Daphnia pulex: one gene and its partners. The protein of the gene in region 5 binds, or shares a complex with, the protein of the main gene of each other region. Links are inferred from orthologs where the notes say so. Each region holds a gene or a part of one and is shown on either strand. Other genes may lie near its edges.

Region 1 (2,516 bases), on a different chromosome or scaffold from region 5:
TTTTGAGATTTCCCCAAATGAAAAACAAACCTGATGCCTTCAAGAAATTAGTGTTTGACATTTTGAAAAAAAAAGGATCATGTTTGAAAAGTGAGATTTTACTTATTTCATCTATAAAAGTTTTAAGGTTTGCAGGATTAGGGGTTTTCGCTATTTCTTTACGTTTACGACCTGATCATGACTTTATATCACATAAGAAGAATGTTCTTCGATATCATTTAATAATGAAAGAAGTTGAGTGTGTATAAACAAAAACAGTAGGTTTACTTTCTACTCAAATTTAACACAATATATTTCACATAATCAGTTCAATCCTGGGTTTGTATACATGAGGCTACATAATAAGGTATTTATTTTTTACATTCGTGACAGAACCATTCGTCATCGTCGAGGAATATTCTTTTTACAACATAAGGGAGATAGATGTTACAAAATACTGGTAGTCAAAAAGAGGAGTGGTTAACTTTGTTTATGATTATCTCCGCGGCGTTGGAACCTAAAGCAACCCATCATCAAAGGACAAGGCGCTTCCATATTCCGCTCTTAAAGGATCTTTGATTGACGCCGCACCATGTGCTAATTCTTTCCCCTTAAAATCAATTACTTTTTCATTGTCAGTTCATTCATGTGATGACAAAGCACCGAGTGAAACTGAACACGAAAATACCAAGTATTTTTTCGCACTCACAATTCAGTTAAAATGTCTTTTGATATTCTCACTATAATAAAGTAAACTGCATCTGCATGTTAACTTAGTTTTGTATTGTTTTGTTTCAAGATATGAAAGACGTGTTTAGCTGTTAGTTTATTGGAATAAGAGACACGGGCATTGCATGGTTTATAGCGTGAAATCAGCTGAATCACACGTTACGTGTAAATCAGCAGAAATAGTGAGTTGCTGGTCAATGCGTTTGAAGGTCACAAAGAACCCCTCGAAGCCCCGTTCTGAGAACTCCGGCTCGACTTTCAGGCAGGTAAGGGGCGACAAAGGGTGACTCACTATATGCGTTTATAACGTGTATAAATCCTTACACTGAGCAAATAGAGCGAGAAATTGAAATGGTTAACAAGAAATATCACCCTGAATTGAAATGTTTATAAATTCTACTTTATTCCTGTTGCAAGACACTTAACTATATTTACAATTTGAATTTTAAGGTACTGATTCAATGTTGGACATTGTACTCTAAACTCTAGCTAAGTTAACGATAACGAAATAAAAGTTCTTTCTATACACTGACTATTTTTATTTATTAGTGATATTCAAATATATATGATTGTTATAAATACATTTTATTTGAATTTCCAAAGAAAAAAAATCTAAACCATTCAAATTTCAAAACACAGAAACAGAATGCCATCGGTCGCCAAATGAAAGTACTACATATTTCCATTCCGGAGTGCAATAGCCACTTTTGACGCTAGAGGACTCCGGACTCCGGAGTGCAATAGCCACTTTTGACACTAGAGCGCTCCGGACTCCGGAGTGCAATAGATTTTACCAAACTTAACTTACAAATTTTCGAAGTTGGCGTGGAAGACATTTCATTTTTTCCCTCTAATTAAATAAAATGGCTGCACCAGTACCCACGCTTTTACCTCTGGTAATACTTTTTTAAAGTTATGCAATTAAATCTTCACCTAAATTTGGTGTGGTATACAGGAGTTGGTTGATAAATGCATTGGTTCAAGGATCCACATTATCATGAAGAATGACAAGGAAATAGTGGGAACTTTGCTAGGGTTCGACGATTTTGTCAACATGGTGCTGGAAGATGTGTCAGAATTTGAATCTACTCCAGAAGGAAGACGTGTGACTAAGCTAGACCAGATCCTGTTGAATGGAAACAACATAACTATGGTAAGGATGCTATAGCAACATAATTTATTGTCTTATTACTTGAACTAATAGCCATTTCATGATTGATATTTAGTTAGTTCCTGGTGGAGAGGGACCAGAAGCTCATTCATGAATTTTTCTTTAATTTTCGAAAGACAATACATCATTCACTCAAATCCTTGAGAATATTTACAATTTCTGACATAGTTGGGCGGTCTTCAGGTTTTGGTTGCCAACAGCTTTGATAAAGCTTACTAAATGTTGTTTCTTCTTCATTACAATTACTATTGAGGACTGGTCTTTCATCCTTGGCAACAACCTAATAACCAACAAGAAACTTAACAATGAATCACATAAAAAGTCTAAAAATGAAATACCAGGTATGCTACAGTGGGCCAGTCCAAGTCAGAAAAAGGTATTTGATTGTGTTCAAATTGCCATAATGTTATACCATAGGAATAGACATCAGATTTTGTTGAGGGAACATCCCCTTGAAGTATTTCTGGGGAACAGTAAGAAACTGTACCTACTCTTTGTTGGTACTGAAACAGAAATTAAATAGAACACAAATTACATCCATTTTCAATCACATCAAGATATGACAAGATAAAACTAACCTGGAATAAATCAAGCTGATGAATGTTTGCAGAATTTCCAAAGTCTCCCAATTTAATCC
Region 2 (2,619 bases), on a different chromosome or scaffold from region 5:
TACAGAGATACGCCTAGTTTTCGTGACTTTCTCTCCCCGGAAGAAGGATTCGCTATTGTTCAGAATTTCGTGATTAAATTCGTATCTAGCAAAGTCCCTGCAATAACAAAGAGAGAGACAGAAATTTAGATAGAGTTATATATCACGATGGGCTCTATTTTGCATAGATAATTACTTCATTATATACAATGATCTTCTCGGTAATAGTGCCGTGACCAAGACTTGGGGTCGCTGTATATGTATGAGCCTCATCACACTGGCTGTGAGCAGAGATATGCCCGATATGGTGGGGCCACAAAACTATGTTTAGAGAAATATACGAATAGATTAGAATGATAATTTCCAAACGCTGTCATCTATCATACCTTTATGCTGTCCAGATGTGGTTTGATGTGACCATTCTCAGCTAAATCAAGCACATGGACATGCTGCATCGTGGTAGTTGAAAAGGCAAAAGCTCTCAACCGATTTATAACACAGTCATTGACTTGATTCCAAGTAGGTTTCTCTGTTTCCCTGTATCCGTGGATAGCCTTTTGGGTTTCGAATAACAAATGGTGGTCATTCAACAGTCAGACAACCTACGTGAACACGAAATTTCAGACTTACATCATCCCAATGGTCATACTGATACCGGGACCTTTTGAACTTCACCTCCAACTCTTCCAATAGGTTATTCTCTTCTTCAGCACTGATGAAATCTTTGTAGACTTGAAAGTCTTTCTCAAGCATTTGCCTCGTCGCTTCATCGCAGTCGGGAGAGAATTCTAAATTTGGAGAGATCCCGCGGGTCTCTGCGGGAGTTGAGCATGTGCTTCTTGAATGGGAACAAGTAGCACTTAAAGGAATTGCGCGCTTCAAAACTGCACGAATATTGACCAGATAAAGCACCATATCTCGATGCTAAAATATTCAACCATTAAAAGTCGGACATCAAAATATTTCAAATCGGCAATTTTCTGCAAAGAGCAGACGACGTTTGCGTGTGTGTACGTGACATGCCATATTTCGTTTTGATTGCAATCAAATGTAAAAAATGATGTCATTAAAAATGACAGACGGTACTTTATTTAATGGACATGTATATTTAAAATAAATAGATTTAACAAAATTGGGCTGGGGTTAGTCACGCTAATATATTATTTCGTTTAATGTTAATACCTCAAAACCGACCAAATAAAGAATTATACCGCATAATGGAAATGTAGGGCCTATCTGATTTTCAAATTTATTTGATGGCCAAAGAAAACGATTCATCAAAACTCTAGCCTGCTGAGTTCTTCTCCTCACCAACCATTTGATTAACGTCTCGGGAAAATAGCCTCAGGCACCCCTTCTCGATTTCTTTAGTCTTTTTCAAATAACCAATTTCCATACATAAACAAAAATTATATTACTCTATCGAAATCATTAATCACTGAAACATAAGTTTACTACAGTTTGTATGAATTAAATCTGAATAGAATGAATGAAAATACTTTGTTGATATTAAAGTAAAATAAACGGCAACGCTGTATTGCAGACGATTTTTACAAGCCAAATACAAAGTGAAGCGAGTGAAGAAATCATGGCATCAACGTTAGATTCTTACGTTAATCGTGAGTTTTAATTATTATATTGTTTATTATTCACTGAAAAATTGTATCTTTCTTGTTCGCAGGTTCCGTATGTGTTATCACGAGTGATGGGAGGAATTTTATTGTAAGTTGTAACGCCCGATCACAAGGCATCATCCTCACTCAATAAACCGTTTGAAATAATTTCAATGTATTCTTTTTACAGGGTATTCTTAAAGGATTCGATCAGACTATCAACCTTATCATTGACGACAGTCATGAGAGAGTGTTTAGTTCTACCCAGGGAGTTGAACAAGTCCAACTGGGACTGCACATCATCAGAGGAGACAATGTGTATGTTTCATCCACTTATTAGCTGTAAAATAACTCAATCATAACTATTTCTTGTTGTAATTTCAGAGTTTTAATTGGGGAAATTGATAATGAACTTGATTCCAGACTCAATTTATCAGAAATAAGAGCAGAACCACTAGCTCAAATCCACCATTAAAGTTTGCATTATTCCATCATGATCACTTGAAATACAATCTTTTTTACAGCTTTGTAGAATCATTCATTTTTTTACAATTAGCTCTAGTTTAAGCAGTTCTTCTTCAACTACTTTAAGGTTTATGATGGTGTCTTCAGGGATCACTGTTACCTAATTAAATGAAAAATCATGAAAACAAGTTTTTACATTAATAAAAATCAGACTTAATATAATTTACTTGGTCGGTTTCAGTAGAATCATCTGGAATGGTATCTTCTAGCAAACAAAGAAGAGCATCATTTTCATAGGTTGGAAAGTAGTACCTAAAAGTTTATCCAATAAAATAGGATCCACAAATAGAAAATTTTGAATGTATCCGGCTTACTGTGACTGATCCCAAACTGCCCGATCGGGAAGTTTAAAGTGACTGAAGTTTTGCATGTGCTCTCTCAGTTTATCCCGGGATTCAAACTGCTCATCGCAAAGTATGCATTTCTTTTCATGCACTTGTCTCCTGACGTAGTTGACAATCTTAATTTGCTGATAGATACTAAAGCTCTTTTTCAGGCCCAG
Region 3 (2,817 bases), on a different chromosome or scaffold from region 5:
AAATACCAAGAAGGTTTTATCAATGAAATGAACAAAATATTTAATTAAGATAACAGGAATTACAAGTCTTCTTGCTAAAGAAATCAAGAGTGCTGAAACCTTAAAAATACCTGTATAAGGAAGTTTTAAAACTGTTGGATTGGCAGAAGAAGCATCTTGTGAAGATCTTTCCCCTTTATTCAATCCTGAAGCTGCCTCCAATAATCCAATTGCAGGGGATGGCGAAGAGGGCTGTGGATGTAATGTTGGATTCAATAAGGAAACTCCGATGACACCATGACTTGCAGAGCGAACATGTCCCTTAACTCCACCCGGCCAACCCCTGCTTGGCAGGGGGTTGACAGTTTCAAGCTCTATTGGGGGTTGCATCACATCAGGAAAAATGTAGGTGGTACCCGGTGAATCAAAATCCATACCGTCCCTGAAAATGAGAGAGTACCAAATTCAATTACAATTGAATTTCTTTAACCATTCACGAAACTAACTGTCAAGCTTGTGACTACCAACAACCAACTCAAAATCAACACAAACTTCTGAGCAATGGAAAAGGGAGAGTTATTTACTCACCAAACATCTTATTTCAATATTGCTGAAAAAGACAAGTCAGCTTTTGTTTTCAAAAAATGTCCATGGCAGACTAAAATCAACAAATCGTCTTAACAGTGGAACGATTGTTCGTTTATTTGGTCCAATGATGGAACCCAGTGAGGAAATGGAAGAAAAACAATCGGTTGGAAAGTGACGTCAACTTTAAAAAAAGTGCAAAAAGATGAAAGAATGGTAAGATAGAGTTTAGTGTCAGCAACTGAGCAACTTGTTGTGTGTCCACGTATATAACGGCAAATTCCAGCTGTGCACTGCTTTCAGCCTCTGCTGCATACACCGTACAAGCTTTACTGCCAGATTTTACACTCGGTAACCGATAATAAAGGAAATTGCGCGGAATGGACACCGGAGTGAAATAAGAAACCGGTTTGTTGACCGTTTAAAAGCTTCCAAAATGTAAAATTGAACCTAAAAAGTCTTTCTGTATCAAGACAAACTGTGATAAATTCCTATCTTTTTAATTCCGCGAAACGCAAAACCCTCTTTTATTACTTTTTAGAGAGCGCTAATTCTGGTTGTGAAGCTTCTCTGTTCTTGCCAATTTGTTAAAAAGACTTTTCATATCCACGACCACGAGTCACTTATTAAACAAAATCACTTAATAACGATACATAAAAAAAAATTCTCCTTTGGTTGTAAATTTTTCCAGCTATTATGATTGAAAACAGAATAGGTGACGTGAGTTTTTGGTCCGGAACCAGAGATCCGGGATCGTTGCTCTACGATGGATATCTCATTACATTACATCAAAAAATTATTTAAATAATCCTATTTTATAAGGTAATTTTAGTTCACTAGTTATTAGGTTTAAATATGTAAATTTCTTTCCTACAAAATGGAAAAACTTTCTCAAAATTTGATGTACTTAATAAGACGACTTGGCAACCCTTACTTCTGATCTTTACGTTACAGAACGTGTAAACTGAAATAACGCGGCTTGACTCGCTTGTCAAACATTCAATCAAATTTTGTAAAATCGTTGACTAAAACAAATACAAATCATGGCAGTAAGTTCAAAACCTAAATCTTGTTGGGTGGTCCTTTTTAGCCGACCATTTACTAACATGTTATATTTCATATTTTCAGGCACCCATGCCCATCAATCCCAAACCCTTTCTCAATGCCTTAACCGGCAAACCGATTATGGTAAAACTGAAGTGGGGCCATGAATACAAAGGTTATCTCGTTTCAGTTGATGGATACATGAATCTTCAGGTACTGTAATAATTATACCATGTAGTGCATTTTCATCAGTAAAAAAATGAAAACATGCTGTTGCACGAAACAGTGTGCATATATGAACAATGGCAATAATTCTTCTTATATTATCACAGTTGGCAAACACAGAAGAATATATTGATGGAAGCTGTACTGGAAACTTGGGTGAAGTTCTTGTCAGGTGCAACAATGTACTTTACATACGTGGAGTGGAAGAAGATGATGAGGAGGGAGAAATGAGAGATTGATTGCTGTTTGTATTGAATTTTTCATCCTTTAATACATAATGTCATTTCCTATCTATCTCATAGAAGTTATTGTATAGGAAACCTGGAAACCCTAAAAAATATGTTCTGGTGTATACATTACAAGATTCCCACAGACAACGAAGGACAAACAAGTAAAAAAACAGCTTTTCAGTATCCAAATTCCAAACACAGAACCGTTGTCTACCGTATTGGTGATTTAATGTTAAGTATACTGGAATTTCTTACGTTCCGGCGATTTTTTCCATTTAGTCGGAAAATAAAGGCTTTGTCTAAATGGAAAATGGTTAAGCTACCTTATGAATGAAGTTAGTAGGCAGCCCGCAGTCCCGCATGCTCGTAAAACTCAAGTCACATTTCTTTTCCACTTACACCAACTTGTTCGTAAATATATTTTGTAAGGTATAAATCAAAAAGGCAAACAAATCCGGAAACACCTTTTCCGATTGGCTCACGCTGGTACCAGCTGATGTCATAAGAATACCTAATTGCTTATGAATATTAATTGTTCAATACGTTTCAATTGGCCTGCATGTAACACGGCTGTTAACACTATAGGACGGTAAGCATGCGCAAGTTATCACTGTCGTTTGAACGTTAGGGGAGTTATAGGCTGTTGAACTCCGAGATGAATTACTACGGTTTGAAACAAATAATAAACATTGTACAAATGTACGTTCCTAACTAGACAACGAAGATTAAAACGTTACTGTCAGGATCACATTTA
Region 4 (3,993 bases), on a different chromosome or scaffold from region 5:
AAGAAATTTAATTTGTAATGTGAAAATAAGATTACCAGTCATGTACTACACCAATATGTCTAGTTGATTTCATCTTGCAAAAAGGAAGAATATGTTCTTTGAGGATGTTGTTGTATGTTCTTGAATCGAACTTGCCAGTCACTCTGCACAGAGAAATATTTGGATGGAACGAAGATATACCACCAAAAAACAACACAGTATTACCAGTTTATTTCTCCGAACCAAAATGCAACTCTATCTTGCTGTTTTTGTCGTAACTGGAATTAGGCAACTTCGAACTGGAATTGAGCAATATTCCTAACGATTCAACAAGCGATTCGCCACTCAAAGAGGCCGTTTTTGATTTAGCGGAAATCGTCGCTAGGGGTTCTAAAAATTAACAAATAGATGGGTTTTGTGCAAAATTTTTCGCTAAGTCGATTGCTGAAAACCGCAATCGCCTAGCTTTTGTAATTTGGGAGATTTTTTTAAAAAAACTGAGAGGGGGTAGCCGAAATTTGGAATTTTTTTCGTTTTTTGTGCAGCAGTTTTCTCGTCAACTGCTGCACCTGGAAATATTCGAATTGTTTCATAATGATGGGATAGCCCACCTCTTCAAACAATTTTCATGTTTTTTCGATGCTCGGCTCAGAAGCCGAGATATTAACGATTGAAATTTTTGAAAAAATTTCTAAAAATTTCTTCGTTTTTCGGCCATGCCGGGCTTCATCCTATAAGCCACCTAGCGCTGCGAAAATCGAGAGGGGGTGGTCACCCCAACAGACCCTATATTCAGGGTAAACGTGGTCCGATTTGGAAACTGGAATGAGCGCTCTAGTGAGTGTGTCAGCTACTACGCTTAGCTACTTTTGAGAGCCTAGATGGCTCTGTTTCCAGTTTCTACTTCACAATTCTGACAAGCTCCGCCCTAAAATGTCTGAAAATCGGGGATACGTTTACCCTAAAACCGGGATAGGGAAGCCAACACAGCCGAGAACCGACCAGGCATCTATTGCTCTGGTTCTGCTATCGGCCGCAGTGGTGCGCATCGGCGTAAACTGCGCAGGACTTTTTGTTCGACTACTACTTTTTCATTGGAATAACATCTATAGTCTTTGAGGCGATCAGCCTACCTCACTAGCGAACCTGGTGCGGAATCTTGGAACCCTTAGTATAAACAAAAATCGACAACGACATTGTTCGTTTTGGACTTTTGGTTTTGCCGCACAAGTCTTCACATGTAAAACAAATAGTTAAAAACTATACTGGCCTTAATGTTTTCATTATGTTTTTCCTTTATTGATTTACGGATAAATTTATCTTCTGTTTTCTTTTTTTAAGTTTTATTCAATAGGAGGATTAACACGCCATCTGTTGCGGAATCAATGGATTTGTATTTGTCCCCGCTTTCCAATCCCGCATTTAGCAATTTACCAACACCCAACGGCATCAAAATAAATATTGCAAAAGCTGAAGTCTGCTTCTCAGTTCTCAAGTTCTGAAGTAAAATTGTTGCAAGATCATTAAGTGAATACAGATTCTGGTACCCTACTTTTATTGTTTGATATTTTAAGGAATTCTATTGAAAAAAATTTTATGTTTAAAGAAATCAAAACTTCCCACCTAAGTTAAACTACTTTCTTTCAGTTCTTAAGGAGACATGGACCGAAAAGAAAGTCGCGATCATAATAATTTTCGAAAAAGAAGACATCGTTCCCCATCTAGGTCTCCGTCAAGATCACATTCAAAAAGTTATGCCTCCGTCAAATCCAAACAAATAAAGGAAGATATAAGTCTCAACATTCAGAGCGAAGAACTGTTGACAGGTATGTATTCAAAATTATGTTTATTAGTAACTAGTAACCAATAATTTTTTTTAAGGAAAAGGGAATGATGAAAGACCAGTTGCTAATTCAACCAATGATACTTCCATTTCGATTGAGGAAACCAACAGAATAAGAGCTGAACTTGGTTTGAAGCCATTGGAGATTGGAGGAGAAAATTCAAATGTTGAAGCCAGTACTGAGAAAAAGGATGTTCATGTCCCAGCAGGTAATGATTTCATTTAAATGTCTTTACTTGTACAATTTAAATGTGGTATTTCTCTAGAGAACCTCCGTGAAAAGAAAGCCACAGAAGAGTTGAGACGAAAACTAGATGAAAGACGAGAAAAGAGGCAAATAGAACAAAAGCTTGCACAAGTGCGCACTCTTGCTCATACAACAGCTGATGATGATGACAATGCTGTTAGCTGGGTTGAAAAATCAAGAAGGATTCAGAAAGAAAAGGAAGAAGCTAATAAAAGAGCAAAAATGCTTGAAGAAATGGATGAAGCATTTGGTGTAGGAGATATGGTAACTACTGAACTGATTAAACAAAAAGCAAAAGCATACACAAGTAGAGACTTACGAGGAATAAAAGTAGAACATGACCGGGTAAGTCACCGACAACGTATACTTTTATTTGAATACCTGTGTTGATGTTGCTTTATTTTGTTAGGAAATGATAGCTGAAGGGAAAGAAGTAGTATTGACTCTTAAAGATCAAAACATCTTGCAAGAGGAAGGGGATGTTTTGGTGAATGTCAACCTTGTTGATATAGAACGCTACAAAAAGAACAATGAAATCAAGAAACAGAGACCGGGATATCAGCCCTATGAAGAGGAAGAAGTTGATGAATTGGGCCTTCCCAAACCAAAGCTCTTGCTTGCTAAATATGACACAGAAATAGAAGGAGAAAAACATGATAGCTTTGTCCTAGGTAAAATATTAGATTTGTTTTGTTGATCTTTACAAAAATATTTATGTTAAAATTCTAGGTAAAATTGGAGATGAAGAAGCCAAAATGAAAGCCCAAAAGTTGATGAAAGACAAACTCAAAATGCAACAGAAGAAAATTGAATCACTGGAATCGCGACCGCTCCAAATTGCATCTGAATATTATACAGCAGAAGAAATGGTTTCCTTCAAAAAAGTTAAACGTCGCGTCAAAAAGGTTCGATCCAAAGGCGACGGCATTTTAAAAGCTGACGATCTTATTCAAGAAACGCAAGAAACAACTTCGTCAGACTTGGGATCGAGATCTCGAAAGAAGAGAATGGATGAAGAGGTCACAGAAGGTATTTTAGTTTGACTAGTATATTGTTTTATTATTACTTATTATGTCTTGTTTATCCAACGCCAGATTTAAGCGGATTCAAGATTACTGTAGACGAATCCCAAAAAGAAATACGTCAGGCACTATTAAAAGCTAATAAACTAAAAGAAAGGAAGGCTGATCAGTGGGACATGAACATGATTACGCGGTCATTAAAACGCGAGCCTTTGGAAGAAACGGAAGGTATGGAAGAGGATCCTCTGAAGAGTAGTATCATACTGAATGCCACAGCAGAATTCTGTCGTACTCTTGGTGACATACCAACCTATGGTATGGCAGGCAATCGTGATGAAGACGAAGATGAGTTAATGGTAATTCATTGCATGAATGTTTTTTTTTTTTTGGTTTTGACTTTAATTAATTGCGTTTCTGTTTTGGCAATAGGATTTCGAGCGACAGTTGGCAGAAGAACGCAGAAGAAATCAAGAAAAAGAAGAGCGAAAAAGGGAGGCTGAGCGTCTTCAAGAACGCGGTGGATGGAATGTTCTGGAACGTGAAAACGATCAAGGTTCCGACGACAGCATGGATGTCGATCGTAATGAAAAGGGTATGTATACTGTGTTCTCGTCACTTTTATTGTTGTCAGTGTTTGCATTTTTTTCTTTTCTCTCTGTAAAATAGATAACGCTACTGTTATCCTGGACGAGGAACCTGATGTCGGCTCGGGAATGGCTGCAGCTTTGAAATTGGCTATGAGCAAAGGCTATCTGGAGAAAGAAGAGAAGAAGAGGATAGTTATTTCTAAGTCCGCCCAAGAGCTGCAGGCGCAGCGCTACACCATAGAAGATAAAGCAGCGTACAATTATTTTGTGTTTTGTTTATACGATATTCAGTTATTCTTATTTTATTTTGTTATT
Region 5 (4,201 bases):
CATCAATCCATTGGCGTATCGCAAACTGGCGCAACAACAAATTCATTATGCGCTTGGAGATACAGGCCGTAGTTTTGTCGTGGGTTTTGGAGTTAATCCGCCGTTGAAACCTCATCATGCGTCCAGGTTTGAATAAAACATTGTGCTTATAAATATGATAGCATTATTATTTTTTAATGTTTTTATTTTTTTTTATGTAGTTCATGTCCGAATAGACCAGCTGTTTGTGATTGGAGCACTTATTCCTCAACTGCACCCAATCCCCAGGTGCTTTATGGAGGTCTAGTTGGTGGTCCAGATAGCAACGACAATTACACGGATGATCGGAGCAATTACGTTACCAACGAAGTAGCTTGCGATTATAACGCCGGCTTCCAAGGATCTGTAGCTGCTTTGCAATCATTGGCTGTCCAAGGTGTTTTCAACTAGAATACAAATTTACAAGATAAGACAGGAATTTGTTACACAACTATATTATATACCTACATTTTAGAAAGTATATTTTACTCTTAATTCTGCATGGTTATCTGCTACAGTACTGCTGATCTTGTTGGTTTTCTTGGAAATGGGATTTATTACTAAAGGTTAAAAAACGCCTGCATTTGTGTGTTCTTGAAAAGTTAAATAAAATTTGGTGATACATTTCTCAAACTATTGGTAACTTTTCAACCGATGCGCATGTCACGAAGAATCGTCTATTAATCTGAAAGAGTATAAGGAAAGTCTGGAATACGTTTGAGTTCGATGTCCTTTTCAAGGTAAAGGTGGTAGCTCGCGTGTTGTTTCATTCAATCTGAAACCTGAATTATGCAACTGCTGAATTCAATAGAAGATGTTGATAAATTGATTTCCACACCTAATTGATTTCCAAGTTCCCAAACATCACAATAGGCTAGTCATTAATCTAGCGTCGAAGTTGATTGGTTTCAAACAAGAACATCTGAAATCCGCACAGGGGGTGATAAACTGATGTATAGAAATCGAAAAATGCAACAAGCGTAACTACGTTTTCCGCGAAGAAACCCGTAAAGAGATTTCGCTGAAATTCCTCGTGCAAAAGAAGTCGTAGTTATCAAGGCTATAGTTCCATCGGGAAAAAAATAAGACAATTTTTAAAAATGTCTAAACAAAAGAATTTTGTGCGTCATCCATATTATAAAATCTACTTGAAACTGGTAGTGTGAGTATGCATTCCATCGAATGGGTCCTGTATTTCCTAATACCAGTGCGTTGCTCAAGTAATTCTTTTCCTCTAAAATGGTTTTAATATGGTGATGGTATTCTTGTTACGCAACTGTATTTTCGTTATTTTTTAATTATTGTGAAGTAATATGCAATAACGTAAAAGAGTTGAGTCTGTGCCGTGTATGCTTTGACCGAATGTAAAGTATAAAAAGGCGAGCGGGACGAACGATGCTGACAGAGAATCCAGCAAACTTACTACCGAGAATGTTGTCTTTATCCGGCTTCATCGTTATTCTTCTTTTCATGCATCTAGCTTCCGGTAAATATTCTTCCGTGTGGTTCCTCATATTTAACATGATTATAGAGTTGAAAAATACACCAATCAAAATAATAAATAGGAGGACCGTGCGATAATGTCGTCACAATTAGCTCATCTTGGCCGGGAGGCTTGACTGCCTCGCTTAATATTTCAATTACGACTCCAATCACTTCATGGGAAATTGACCTGAAATTTTCATCGGCCGTTCCATGGTTAAAGGTATGACACGCTCCTGTTACATCATAGATAGCATTTTTGAATATTTTTATTTTTAAAGGCTTGGGACGCTACAGAGTCTAAGATTAATGAAGTGGAATATCAGCTGAGAAACCTCAGTTCTAACGGAGTTCAGAGCGCTGGGGCTACACTGACGAGTGTCGGTTTTAATGCTTTCTTTAGTTCCAGCACCACACCCATTATTACAAGCGTACTTTTTAACGGAGACAACGTCTGTTTAATTGGTAAGTAACTAAATTATTAATCGTAATAATAGAGAATTTTTGGTTAAATTTTGTTTTTATTATGTCCTTCCAAGACACTAAAACAGAGGCTAGACAACCGATAATAGAAGAAGTAATAAATTTTAATTCTTTGGCATAAAATGGAAAAAGTTGTACTAAATGAAGCAATTTCTAGGAGAACAACCTTTTAGTGGATGCCTGGCCGACTAAATACAATTACCGTGAAGTAATCACCAAATCATTGCTCTTCTACTATGCCCAGCGCTCTGGGCGCTTGCCAGTAAACGATAACCCCATTCCGTATCGTTCAGACTCGGCGCTCAACGATCGTGGACAAGACGGAGAAGATCTCACTGGAGGCTATTACGATGGTAATTTATACTATTATTTGTATTCTATTTTATTCCATCAAAGTATTTGAAATTCTTTACCATATTTATTTAGCTGGAGATCACTTGAAACTCGGTTTTCCTTTAGCCAGTTCTATAACGATAGTGGCTTGGTCGATAATTGATTATCCGCTTGGATATTCTTCCGCAGGTTTTAAAAATTTAAACCAATTTCTCGTTGAATCAGATCACTAAACTTACTGGATTAATTTAAATAATACAGGGAAATTAACAACAGCTCGAAATATGGTCAAGTGGGCGACAGATTACTTTATCAAGGCCCATGTGCAAACTAACAAATTTTATGGGCAAGTGGGCGATGGCGATCTCGATCACGATTACTGGGGACGTCCCGAAGAAATGACCATGAAACGACCGGTATAAAGCCCTGACCCATTATTAAACTCATTTATTTCATCGACTGAAAACTACATTTCTATCGCTTTAGGCTTTTTTTATATCTACCTCAAAACCTGGTAATTTGTTTTTAAATTATATTGTCGTTCAAAGAAATAACACAACATTGCGCACGATAGGGTCTGACTTGGCCGGTGAAACAGCTGCCGCACTTGCCGCAACTTCAATAGTTTTTAAAACAGTCGACAGCACTTACTCAGCTCTTTGCTTGACACATGCAAAGCAATTGTACGATTTTGCTAAACGACATCGAGGAATATACAGCGAGTCCATCCCACAAGTAGCAGATTTTTATTCGTAAAAGCTTTAAATTTAATAAAATTGTTGCGTTTGATGTGTATCCGGTATAATATCACAATTGCCTGTAGGTCAAGTGGTTTCGGTGACGAACTGGCTTGGAGCGCTAGTTGGTTATACCGAGCTACTAACGATAACGCTTACCTCGACGATGCTAAGGCATTTTACACCGATTTCAACCTCTCCGATAATCCATCGGAATTTTCATGGGATACGAAAACTGCCGGAGTACAGGTAAATCAGTTATATTTGTTTAATTATTGTTCCGTTAATGCCATTTAATTCATATAGGTTCTGTTGGCCAAACTGACAAATGAGAACCTCTACAGAAACGCAGCGAAAACTTTCTGTGATTCCAAAGTTGAACAACCGAAGACGCCAAAGGGGCTCCTATTTGTTACCAAGTGGGGATCTTTAGGCGCCGCATCAAATATCGCTTTCATTTGTCTTCAAGTATTTAAAAAAAAAATTATATTCACAATTTTACGCCTGGTGATTAAAAATACGTTAAACTAATATATTAATATATTATTCACTTATTCCGTAGGCTGCCGATCTGAACATCAATCCATTGGCGTATCGCCAACTGGCGCAACAGCAGATTCATTATGCACTTGGAGATACAGGCCGTAGTTTTGTCGTGGGTTTCGGGCACAATCCACCACTGAAGCCACATCATGCGTCCAGGTTCGTGTTTTTAGCTTCTTGTTCATACAATAGATATCCAGAAATATTATACACATTTCTAATTTTTCGTCTTTTTGCAGTTCATGTCCGAATAGGCCCGCCGTTTGCGATTGGGATGCCTTTGATTCACCCAATCCTAATCCCCAGATCCTCTATGGAGCTCTAATTGGTGGCCCAGATAACCAAAATGACCATTACGTAGATGACAGACACAATTTCGTTACGAACGAAGTAGCTTGCGATTATAACGCGGGCTTCCAGGCGTCTGTAGCTGCTCTGCAATCACTGGCTGTTAACGGAATCTTCAACTAGAAGCAGTGCAGGAACATGGAAGATGAGATGAAGAAGATATTTAATATTTTCATCCGCCTTTCGTTTTAGTAATAAATCTTCTCGGTGTTTTTGGTTGTTCGGAATGTGTCAAATAACAATCGGGAAAATTTTTT
Region 6 (4,140 bases), on a different chromosome or scaffold from region 5:
TTGATGCCGCAATCAGATTCAAAGAAAATGACAGTGTCAGTGTTGCTAAGAGTAGCGTCCCCAACACGGTGAATTGTTTCCAAACCAGTAGCCAAGCCATCGTGCAAAAAGACACCGCCATTTACGCCGGGGTAAGCATCCCATCTATTTAGGAAATTTCAGAAAATTCATATTTACTAAAAATAAAGTTGATTGTCAATTTTTCCCGTCATACGTAAAGCTAAAATCGCCATCTGGAAGCTGAATACGGTCGTATCCTAGCAGGACTATCTGCTCGCGAACTAAAGCCAAAACCTAAAATATAAAATGTTTTTAAAAAGACAAAATTCAGTAAATCAAAGAACGAAATTGAATTATATTACAAATACCTCGTCCATGTATTCATTGGCATTTCCTGCTTCCCCACTTCGAGCACGATTCATCAAATGTTCAGAGGCCGGAAAGGAAAGACGAAGAAGCGGCTCGCCTTTTCCAGAAACGGGGCGTCGAATTCCAGCACCTACCAAAAGTAATGACAAAATTAAAAATTATGGTCGTTAGAAATTTAGAATCAACCCAATCAAGGAACGAGTAACAAATATGAGCAAACCATTGGAAAGGGTAAAAAGGCAGAGCAAAGCGAAAATGCCAACCACTTTCATGACGAACGAACACAATTTCAGTTTAAAGTTAAAGAAAGAAACCGTGTCCTTTTGAGAAACAGAAAATGCAAACTGCACACGACCAATTTATACAAAAATTATTGGTCTATCAATGATTGGGCAATCGATCACTTCTTGATTAGAAAGTGATATAAATGGGTTTTTCAAAGATTATGATTGTGACATCGAACTTGATTTGACTAATCTGATAATCCGTATTGCGTGCTAAAATCAAAGGGCAAACAAAATTACCCAATGATTATATTTTTGTACACCTTCGAAGGACGAACTTATACAAAAAAAAACATTCTATTGAAAATGAATTACGAAATTCTAATTCACCAATTGCTTAGTTGATTTTTAGAAACCCGGAAATTGCTTGTTTCCGGGTTTATGGTTCAAGTAAGCAATTTGTATCCAGGCAGAAAAAATCTACACTATGCTGAACATCATTATCTGAACCATGAATATCGCTTTCAAAATATAGACTTCTGTTGACATAAGTTAATCAAGGTAAACAGAGTTCTGATAATACATCCAAACAAATTCGAGACAAACTCTAAACTTTGAGATGATTACACAACACCCAAGACCCAACAGCGTTACCAGACACAAAATAAGGGTTTTTTAGTTAGTTATCAGGATAGTAATTCAAACGATAAAAAATAGTAGCCCCATCTTGTACAAATAATTATTTACTTGACGCATGACCATGATAATCAAACGAAATTTTGAATCGCGTTACAAGATTTGAATGAAGTAGTTCACGCCATCTACAGGACAATAATTCTACTTTTTCGTTTACCGGCATTAACGCGTTGCATTCGTTTTATGTGTCTGCTATCCTTTCCGTAACTCTGCATTCGAGTTTCCTTAATTCTTAAACAATAAGAAAAGCTGTCAATTTTGGCTCTTGGGGTAAATATCTTTTCAAAAATGGGGACGGAAAAGAGTGATATAAAGCGCAAACATGAAGATTTCGATGATGAAGACGAACCCGTCGTGAAAACAAGTATTGTTGTCACTATCCACAAAACCAAATAATAAATATAGTGCAATCCGTGTAACAACTTTTACTGATAAAAATTCTAGGAGAACCAATTGCCAAATCTCGTTTGTGTCCTTATTTGGACACAATAAACAGGACAGTTTTGGATTTTGATTTTGAAAAACTCTGTTCAGTCTCGCTCACAAGGATTAATGTCTATGCATGTTTGGTGTGTGGGAAATACTTTCAAGGTAAATTTGAAGTTAAACAGCAATATTCACATATTTTAAATTGTTTCAAATGAATTCTAGGAAGAGGCCCCAGCACACATGCATATCTTCACAGTGTGGGAGAGGGACATCATGTTTTTTTGAACCTTCACACCCTAAGATTCTATTGTCTGCCAGACAACTATGAAATCATTGATTCATCACTCGATGATATCAAATATGTCTTGAATCCAACATTCAAAAAAGCAAATATTGCAGTGTTGGATGTCATTGATAAAGTATCTAGGTCTTGTGATGGTACTCTTTACCGTCCTGGAGTAGTTGGACTCAATAACATCAAAGCTAATGATTACTGCAATGTAGTCCTACAGGTAATGAAGTAGTAAACTATAAATTAAAATAATAAACTTTACTTACTTTTGTATTAGGCTTTATCTCATGTTGTTCCACTACGCGATTACTTTCTCAGGGAAGAGAACTACATTGGTATCAAGCGTCCTCCTGGAGACAATAACGTCATCTTAGTTCAGCGTTTTGGTGAATTGATTCGTAAGCTTTGGAATCCACGCAACTTTAAGGCTCACGTTTCCCCCCACGAGATGCTCCAGGCTGTCGTTCTGTGCAGTAAAAAGAAATTCCAAATTACAAGCCAGGGTAATATTAAATTATGAGAATTGTTATTAAAATTTTACCTTGCTAATTCTTCATTTTCCATATTTCAGGTGATCCAGTGGAATTTCTTTCGTGGTTTTTAAACGCGTTGCATCTGGCATTAAACGGTACCAAGAAGCCAACTTCTTCAATCATCTACAAATCTTTTTTGGGAGCAATGAAAATTCATTCTCAGCGAATCCCACCCATCGATGCCACTGATACAGAAAAGGATGCACTGATGTTGACTGCCGAATACGTCGAAACATTTGTCGATTCGCCTTTCCTTTTTCTGGCAGCCGACTTGCCTCCCCCTCCTCTGTTCAAAGATGAATTTCGCGAAAACATCATTCCACAGGTTTGCCAAAATCAATTAGCTTGTAGCATTAATTAAAAGCTAGATCGAGTCTTTTGTTGATTTTTCAGGTATCTCTGTTTGCATTGCTGTCTCAATTCAATGGAGTCCAGCAAAAGGAATACAAGACCTACAAGGAAAATTTTTTGAAGAGATTCGAATTGACAAAACTGCCACGTTACATTATTCTCAACATCAAGAGATTCACGAAGAACACGTTTTTCATAGAAAAGAATCCCACCATCATAAACTTCCCCATCAGGTAAATAAAATTACCACACCATTTTTTGTTGACTGTTACAAAATTGAGATGTGCTTTTAGGGGTGTGGATTTTGGCGATATTCTAGGTGCAGATGTTCGCGCCAAACACGGATGTACCACATACGATCTGTTAGCCAATATTGTACATGATGGAGAACCAACCAAGGGAACTTATCGTGTTCACATACTTCATAAGGTAAATTCGTTTTATTGTTGACCAATAATCACAATAAACTTCACGAGTCAATTGCTTCTATTAGGCGACAGGAAAATGGTTTGAAATGCAAGATCTGCACGTGACAGAAATTCTTCCGCAGATGATCACTCTCACAGAAGCTTACATTCAGGTAGAAAAAAAAATACAATAAAACGTTATTATGTCCCATTTAAAATGTTCAAACATTTTAGATATGGGAACAATCTACGGAAAGAAGCGACGTTGAAATGTCCAACTGAAATTTCTGTCAAAAGTGTAAAACCCGAGTTGAAATAAATATTCAAATTCGTACTAAAGCATTAATGTGAGACTTCTTATTGGATTGAATAAAATTAACACACCACGTCGCGAGGAAAACGAACCATGTTTGATTACACAAGATGCAATAATACACAACTTATTTCGTTTTTTTTTGTTTCATTTATCTTGCTCCAAACGATGTTGTGTGGCAAAACAGGGAAAAAGGAGTGATTTGTTTAATTAAGAGAGAAGAAGTGGGTTTGAGAATGCAGAGCAAAATAAAGAAATCTTGAAACAAACACGTAAGAGACAACCCCCAAAGAGGACAGAAGGGATGAAAAAATAAAGGGTCGTAGTGAAAAATTAGATTCACACCGCGCAATCAAATTGTCCTTCATGAATTCCGCTCGTTTGCTACTCTTTTTCCCTTACATACACTCGCACAAAGTTTCTTCAAAAATCAGACCAGCATTCGATCGAATTCAAATAGCTTATTTTTTTGCGGTGAGCAGCGGTGGGGTGATTTTTATTTTATGCTACAAAAAATTGGAAAACG
Region 7 (3,935 bases), about 480 kb from region 5:
TAAAAAGTGGTGGCATTCTTACCTTGGCAACCGATGATGCACTGTTGATGTTACTGCTAACCGAATGTGCAGCCAAAAAGGCGATGAAAATCGCCATATGTATTCTGGGATTCATTTTTGAGAGAATTTCCTGAGCGTTTGAGAGTCTGCCTTACGTGTGTGTGAGAGGGTGGAGAGAGAGATTTTTTCAGTATTATTTATTTTAAGAGCCGGATATCCGTTTCTAAAGTTTTCTTCCAAGATTTTTGTGTTATTTCAATACAAAAGTGGAGAACGTGGTCGAATAAATTAGGATAGTTGCAGCCTTTTGTCCGTTTTTCTAATTTTCTAAACACAGACGGTGATGCTCTCAGGTCAGGCTGGGCATTTTCTTTCTTTCTTTCACACTTCTTCTCTCTCACAGGCGCGCACTCAACCACACAGTTCACTGGTGAAGCCAAAACGATGGCCGAGTTTTACTCGTCGATTCGGGGACGGAATGTTAAATATCAACAGAACAAAAAGAGTTGCCGGGAATTGGCGTGATTTCGAGACACTTCTCGATGTAACCAAAGGCCGAAATGGATTAAAAGATCCCAACTCACGCCCAGATCATCAAACACACCAGCCGAGAGCCGCCATTAAACTGAAGGGACTGGATTTTTCTTTGTGTCCCTCCGCCGCCATTGGGTACCAAAAACTCTGCCATCTGGCGGCAGTTTTCAGCTCCTCCCCACTTTCTCCTCCAACAACATAGACGTGGAAATTATACGGACGAATGTAAACCACACACACGGGAAAGAAAAGGAAAAACAAAAATCAATCTCATCATTTCCTCATCATGTTGGGAAAAAATGAATGACTCAATTTAGGTCATGGATTCAGCGCTCAAAATATCTTCATCTCGAGAGACTAGTTTTGTTCTTTCCGACGCACCAAATTTCGTTGGAATGGAAAAGAAATCCCAGACATAGCGACTATCACATATACTGGTGAAGTCGTTTTCTTGCGAGTGTTAAAAAACTAGAAGGTCCTCTGTTCTATAGTCACACGGACACACAAAACTTAAGAAAATATCGAGGGGAGAGATTTAATGTTTGTTGTTTCTCCCTCCTTCTTCTAACACTCCTTTTCTTTTTTTACGATCGTGGGTTCGCCTGTTTTCCGGCCCCAATAATACCCATTGTTTTCCAAGACTGCGCGGGTGTTCATGAAATTCCTCGAGTTACAACTTCTTTTTCCCAAAAAAAGAAAGAGAAAAAGGGTTCGGAAATTCTTGAGCGATATACCACTGTGACAGCTTTTCCCCATCTCAATTTTTATTCTTTTATTATACCAAAGTCTTTCCAAGTTTCCAACAAGATTTGGAAAAGGCGACCACTATAAAATATAGATCTAGCAAGAAAAGGCTTCTGCTCCGTCAGTAGTAGTTGTCAAAACTTTTTCACTTTTTTTTTCTACAACTTGAAAATTTTCTTAAAAGTCTAGAAGCCGGAGCAATGGCGCTTGTGTCAGTAAACAATCCCAGCAATAATGAATTGGTGTCGGCCACCTCGGGTCAAGTGGCCCTGCAACAGGTTTGATTTATTTGTGTTTTATTTATAAACTTTTAAATGAGCCGAATGCATCACAAAAGAGAATTGCATCCAACCACATGCTGACCAGCTTGTGTGTTTTGTTGTTGTAGATGCTATGATGAATTCAAATGTGATATTGACTTTTTCAATAAACAGGGACCAGCAAGAACGTCTAGCCTCATGGCTCCTATAATGCTCCTGGCAGGACATCCTGGAGATATCTTTAGCCTGAAGTTCCATCCTGACGGCCAGTTTTTGGTTTCCACCGGGTTCGACAGACAAATATGTAAGCATCATATATACATTTGAGCATCTCTACTGTTTGGATAATCAACCTCTTGTTCAACAGTTTTGTGGAATGTTTATGGAGAGTGTGAAAACTTTGCTGTGTTGTCTGGTCACACCGGAGCAGTAATGGATCTTCAGCTGTCTACCGATGGTGATACCATTTACACTGCTAGTACAGACAAAACCATTTGTTTGTGGGACACCAGAACAGGAGCTAAAATCAAGAAACTGAAAGGTATACCATTGTCACTGTCCCATTATTTAGCAATTGAACCCAACAACAATTTGTTTCAACAGGCCACTCCTCCTTTGTCAATGCTATTCATCCTGCACGAAGAGGACCTCCTCTTCTCTGCAGCGCCTCAGATGACTGCAACATCAAAGTCTGGGATCCAAGAAAAAGAACCGAGACAGTATCATTAGATAATTCTTACCAAGCGACTTCCGTCACCTTCAACGATACCGCCGAACAAGTCATTTCCGCAGGCATCGACAACGATGTTAAGGTGAGTTCGCAAAATTCAATTGTTGTAATAGAGAGAGAGAGAGAGAGAAGAAAAACTATGGGACCAATTTCCAAGAATTTGAATTAAGCCACCGATTCGGCGAACTTCATATTCCGTGTGAGTGGGAGAAAGTCACAAACTTGAGTATTTTTCTTACAGAATTGATTAAAGTTCTCAGTATTTTTACTTGATGGCTTCAAGAGAATAGTTTGGCAAAAAAGGAAGGACCTGCAGTCATATTCTGTCTTTGTTGTAAAAACTAAAGTTTCGACATTGTTGATTGTTTTCTACTTAATATTGAACCATATTCGTGCAAGTTCTGTCTTACCCTATCATCGAGTTCATTTTCCTTGAAGAGTGCAAGGGATTTCAACTTTGGTATTCTGATTATCGCGTGTCTCACCTTGATAAGGTCACCAAGTCCTTCCTTACTTCCAGGGCCCCTTCTCTTTGATATATGAATGGGTTCACTAATGTAAGCTCGTAGGCGAAGTTTTTAAAATTAATTCAAGTAATTTCAGCAGTAGGGTCTCGTCAAATGTCCTAATTCCATCCTAATTACTGAAGATGCGCATTTTTGTGTTTTGTCAGTTTGAGGCAAATGTGAAACGCTGGAAGCGGATTCTGATACTTCTTTGCTTGTCAGATGGTTGCACATTATCGATCAAAACTTTTCCCCGTAATACTTATGACAATTTTGCGACATCTTTAGGAAGAATTTACTCTGAAAAATAGATAATTTTCACTTTTTATCGATTATCTTTTCGTTCGAACTAAACCCATGTTAAGTTTTCTCCTTTTTTTGGAAGATATTCATTTTAAAACCTGAAAAGTAGTTTTGCATTTGCGATATTTCAACTGGTCCTGGCCTTGAGCTATTCACGTGAATATGGAGAGATAGGTAAATCATACACTTTCCTTTTTAGGTCTGGGACTTGAGAAAAAATGCTCTCCTCTACTCCTTGAAGGGCCATTCCGACACTGTGACCGGCTTGACTCTCAGTCCTGATGGATCTTACGTGTTGTCAAACTCGATGGACAACTCTTTACGTGTCTGGGATGTACGACCTTTCGCTCCTCAAGAACGTTGTATCAAAATGATGGTTGGCCATGCTCACAACTTTGAAAAGGTATATACAATGCCGGCGAATTTCTCAATCCATTCTAATACCTTGTGTAATGTTATAGAATTTACTTCGCTGCTCATGGTCACCTGACGGAACCAAAGTTTCAGCGGGATCTGCCGACCGATTCGTTTACATTTGGGACACTACATCTCGCCGCATCATTTACAAATTACCTGGTCACAACGGAAGTGTCAATGACGTTGTATTTCATCCTAAGGAACCTATTGGTAATTTACGCAGCAAATCAACATCAAGGACATCAATTAATTTCAGATTTTTTATTTTGAATGAAACATAGTTGCATCCGGTGCCAGTGACAAGCTGATTTACCTAGGCGAAATTGACGCTTAATTAGGAAAGGTTATAATTTTTTTCAGTTGAAACGATGGCAAGGATCGAGGACGAATAAACAAATAATTCTTTTACGCATATTTACAAAATTGCATTTAAATTAATCG

What was found.
Region 1: pre-mRNA-processing factor 6-like (region 5) and U6 snRNA-associated Sm-like protein LSm5 share a complex: the UniProt entries of both Homo sapiens proteins name them as parts of the U4/U6-U5 tri-snRNP complex. The link is inferred for Daphnia pulex from reciprocal best matches to the Homo sapiens genes PRPF6 and LSM5.
Region 2: pre-mRNA-processing factor 6-like (region 5) and U6 snRNA-associated Sm-like protein LSm8 share a complex: the UniProt entries of both Homo sapiens proteins name them as parts of the U4/U6-U5 tri-snRNP complex. The link is inferred for Daphnia pulex from reciprocal best matches to the Homo sapiens genes PRPF6 and LSM8.
Region 3: pre-mRNA-processing factor 6-like (region 5) and small nuclear ribonucleoprotein F share a complex: the UniProt entries of both Homo sapiens proteins name them as parts of the U4/U6-U5 tri-snRNP complex. The link is inferred for Daphnia pulex from reciprocal best matches to the Homo sapiens genes PRPF6 and SNRPF.
Region 4: pre-mRNA-processing factor 6-like (region 5) and U4/U6.U5 tri-snRNP-associated protein 1-like share a complex: the UniProt entries of both Homo sapiens proteins name them as parts of the U4/U6-U5 tri-snRNP complex. The link is inferred for Daphnia pulex from reciprocal best matches to the Homo sapiens genes PRPF6 and SART1.
Region 6: pre-mRNA-processing factor 6-like (region 5) and U4/U6.U5 tri-snRNP-associated protein 2-like share a complex: the UniProt entries of both Homo sapiens proteins name them as parts of the U4/U6-U5 tri-snRNP complex. The link is inferred for Daphnia pulex from reciprocal best matches to the Homo sapiens genes PRPF6 and USP39.
Region 7: pre-mRNA-processing factor 6-like (region 5) and U5 small nuclear ribonucleoprotein 40 kDa protein-like share a complex: the UniProt entries of both Homo sapiens proteins name them as parts of the U4/U6-U5 tri-snRNP complex. The link is inferred for Daphnia pulex from reciprocal best matches to the Homo sapiens genes PRPF6 and SNRNP40.

What each region holds. Positions count from the first base shown.
Region 1 is NC_060021.1:7,375,193-7,377,708, forward strand, and holds U6 snRNA-associated Sm-like protein LSm5, read left to right. Parts: upstream 1-1,484; 5' UTR 1,485-1,516; coding exon of another isoform or gene 1,517-1,549; 5' UTR 1,550-1,571; coding exon 1,572-1,604; exon of another isoform or gene 1,605-1,663; coding exon 1,664-1,861; intron 1,862-1,934; coding exon 1,935-1,973; 3' UTR 1,974-2,003; downstream 2,004-2,516. Other genes in the region: peptidyl-prolyl cis-trans isomerase H-like, read right to left, coding at 1,517-1,549; serine/threonine-protein kinase mos-like, read right to left, coding at 2,004-2,159, 2,218-2,382, 2,458-2,516. UniProt on the Homo sapiens protein: Plays a role in pre-mRNA splicing as component of the U4/U6-U5 tri-snRNP complex that is involved in spliceosome assembly, and as component of the precatalytic spliceosome (spliceosome B complex).
Region 2 is NC_060019.1:330,990-333,608, forward strand, and holds U6 snRNA-associated Sm-like protein LSm8, read left to right. Parts: upstream 1-1,488; 5' UTR 1,489-1,567; coding exon 1,568-1,598; intron 1,599-1,660; coding exon 1,661-1,701; intron 1,702-1,782; coding exon 1,783-1,910; exon of another isoform or gene 1,911-1,976; coding exon 1,977-2,067; 3' UTR 2,068-2,119; downstream 2,120-2,619. Other genes in the region: alpha-ketoglutarate-dependent dioxygenase alkB homolog 7, mitochondrial-like, read right to left, coding at 1-97, 176-300, 366-533, 610-894; zinc finger protein 277-like, read right to left, coding at 2,131-2,217, 2,285-2,369, 2,432-2,619. UniProt on the Homo sapiens protein: Plays a role in pre-mRNA splicing as component of the U4/U6-U5 tri-snRNP complex that is involved in spliceosome assembly, and as component of the precatalytic spliceosome (spliceosome B complex).
Region 3 is NC_060019.1:9,593,577-9,596,393, forward strand, and holds small nuclear ribonucleoprotein F, read left to right. Parts: upstream 1-1,466; 5' UTR 1,467-1,607; coding exon 1,608-1,613; intron 1,614-1,692; coding exon 1,693-1,821; intron 1,822-1,940; coding exon 1,941-2,072; 3' UTR 2,073-2,081; exon of another isoform or gene 2,082-2,123; intron 2,124-2,135; 3' UTR 2,136-2,317; downstream 2,318-2,817. Other genes in the region: phospholipid-transporting ATPase VD-like, read right to left, coding at 111-414. UniProt on the Homo sapiens protein: Plays a role in pre-mRNA splicing as a core component of the spliceosomal U1, U2, U4 and U5 small nuclear ribonucleoproteins (snRNPs), the building blocks of the spliceosome.
Region 4 is NC_060026.1:10,447,664-10,451,656, forward strand, and holds the start of U4/U6.U5 tri-snRNP-associated protein 1-like, read left to right. Parts: upstream 1-1,193; 5' UTR 1,194-1,219; intron 1,220-1,320; 5' UTR 1,321-1,522; intron 1,523-1,603; exon of another isoform or gene 1,604-1,626; 5' UTR 1,627-1,639; coding exon 1,640-1,805; intron 1,806-1,860; coding exon 1,861-2,031; intron 2,032-2,088; coding exon 2,089-2,414; intron 2,415-2,478; coding exon 2,479-2,740; intron 2,741-2,798; coding exon 2,799-3,098; intron 3,099-3,163; coding exon 3,164-3,447; intron 3,448-3,520; coding exon 3,521-3,683; intron 3,684-3,757; coding exon 3,758-3,932; intron 3,933-3,993. UniProt on the Homo sapiens protein: Plays a role in mRNA splicing as a component of the U4/U6-U5 tri-snRNP, one of the building blocks of the spliceosome. May also bind to DNA.
Region 5 is NC_060027.1:3,689,252-3,693,452, reverse strand, and holds the start of pre-mRNA-processing factor 6-like, read left to right. Parts: upstream 1-1,401; 5' UTR 1,402-1,413; coding exon 1,414-1,504; intron 1,505-1,583; coding exon 1,584-1,723; intron 1,724-1,781; coding exon 1,782-1,965; intron 1,966-2,039; coding exon 2,040-2,077; intron 2,078-2,140; coding exon 2,141-2,336; intron 2,337-2,409; coding exon 2,410-2,505; intron 2,506-2,577; coding exon 2,578-2,732; intron 2,733-2,802; coding exon 2,803-2,830; intron 2,831-2,890; coding exon 2,891-3,068; intron 3,069-3,139; coding exon 3,140-3,302; intron 3,303-3,359; coding exon 3,360-3,521; intron 3,522-3,615; coding exon 3,616-3,755; intron 3,756-3,835; coding exon 3,836-3,986; intron 3,987-4,201. Other genes in the region: endoglucanase 12-like, read left to right, coding at 1-126, 201-429. UniProt on the Homo sapiens protein: Involved in pre-mRNA splicing as component of the U4/U6-U5 tri-snRNP complex, one of the building blocks of the spliceosome.
Region 6 is NC_060025.1:1,779,032-1,783,171, forward strand, and holds U4/U6.U5 tri-snRNP-associated protein 2-like, read left to right. Parts: upstream 1-1,446; 5' UTR 1,447-1,577; coding exon 1,578-1,653; intron 1,654-1,733; coding exon 1,734-1,880; intron 1,881-1,940; coding exon 1,941-2,230; intron 2,231-2,287; coding exon 2,288-2,513; intron 2,514-2,581; coding exon 2,582-2,868; intron 2,869-2,936; coding exon 2,937-3,127; intron 3,128-3,187; coding exon 3,188-3,323; intron 3,324-3,387; coding exon 3,388-3,474; intron 3,475-3,535; coding exon 3,536-3,583; 3' UTR 3,584-3,640; downstream 3,641-4,140. Other genes in the region: uncharacterized protein LOC124202306, read right to left, coding at 1-144, 215-294, 369-499, 590-641.
Region 7 is NC_060027.1:3,204,468-3,208,402, reverse strand, and holds U5 small nuclear ribonucleoprotein 40 kDa protein-like, read left to right. Parts: upstream 1-1,135; 5' UTR 1,136-1,478; coding exon 1,479-1,556; intron 1,557-1,712; coding exon 1,713-1,842; intron 1,843-1,905; coding exon 1,906-2,079; intron 2,080-2,141; coding exon 2,142-2,350; intron 2,351-3,276; coding exon 3,277-3,480; intron 3,481-3,538; coding exon 3,539-3,704; intron 3,705-3,775; coding exon 3,776-3,828; 3' UTR 3,829-3,908; downstream 3,909-3,935. Other genes in the region: syndecan-like, read right to left, coding at 23-115. UniProt on the Homo sapiens protein: Required for pre-mRNA splicing as component of the activated spliceosome. Component of the U5 small nuclear ribonucleoprotein (snRNP) complex and the U4/U6-U5 tri-snRNP complex, building blocks of the spliceosome.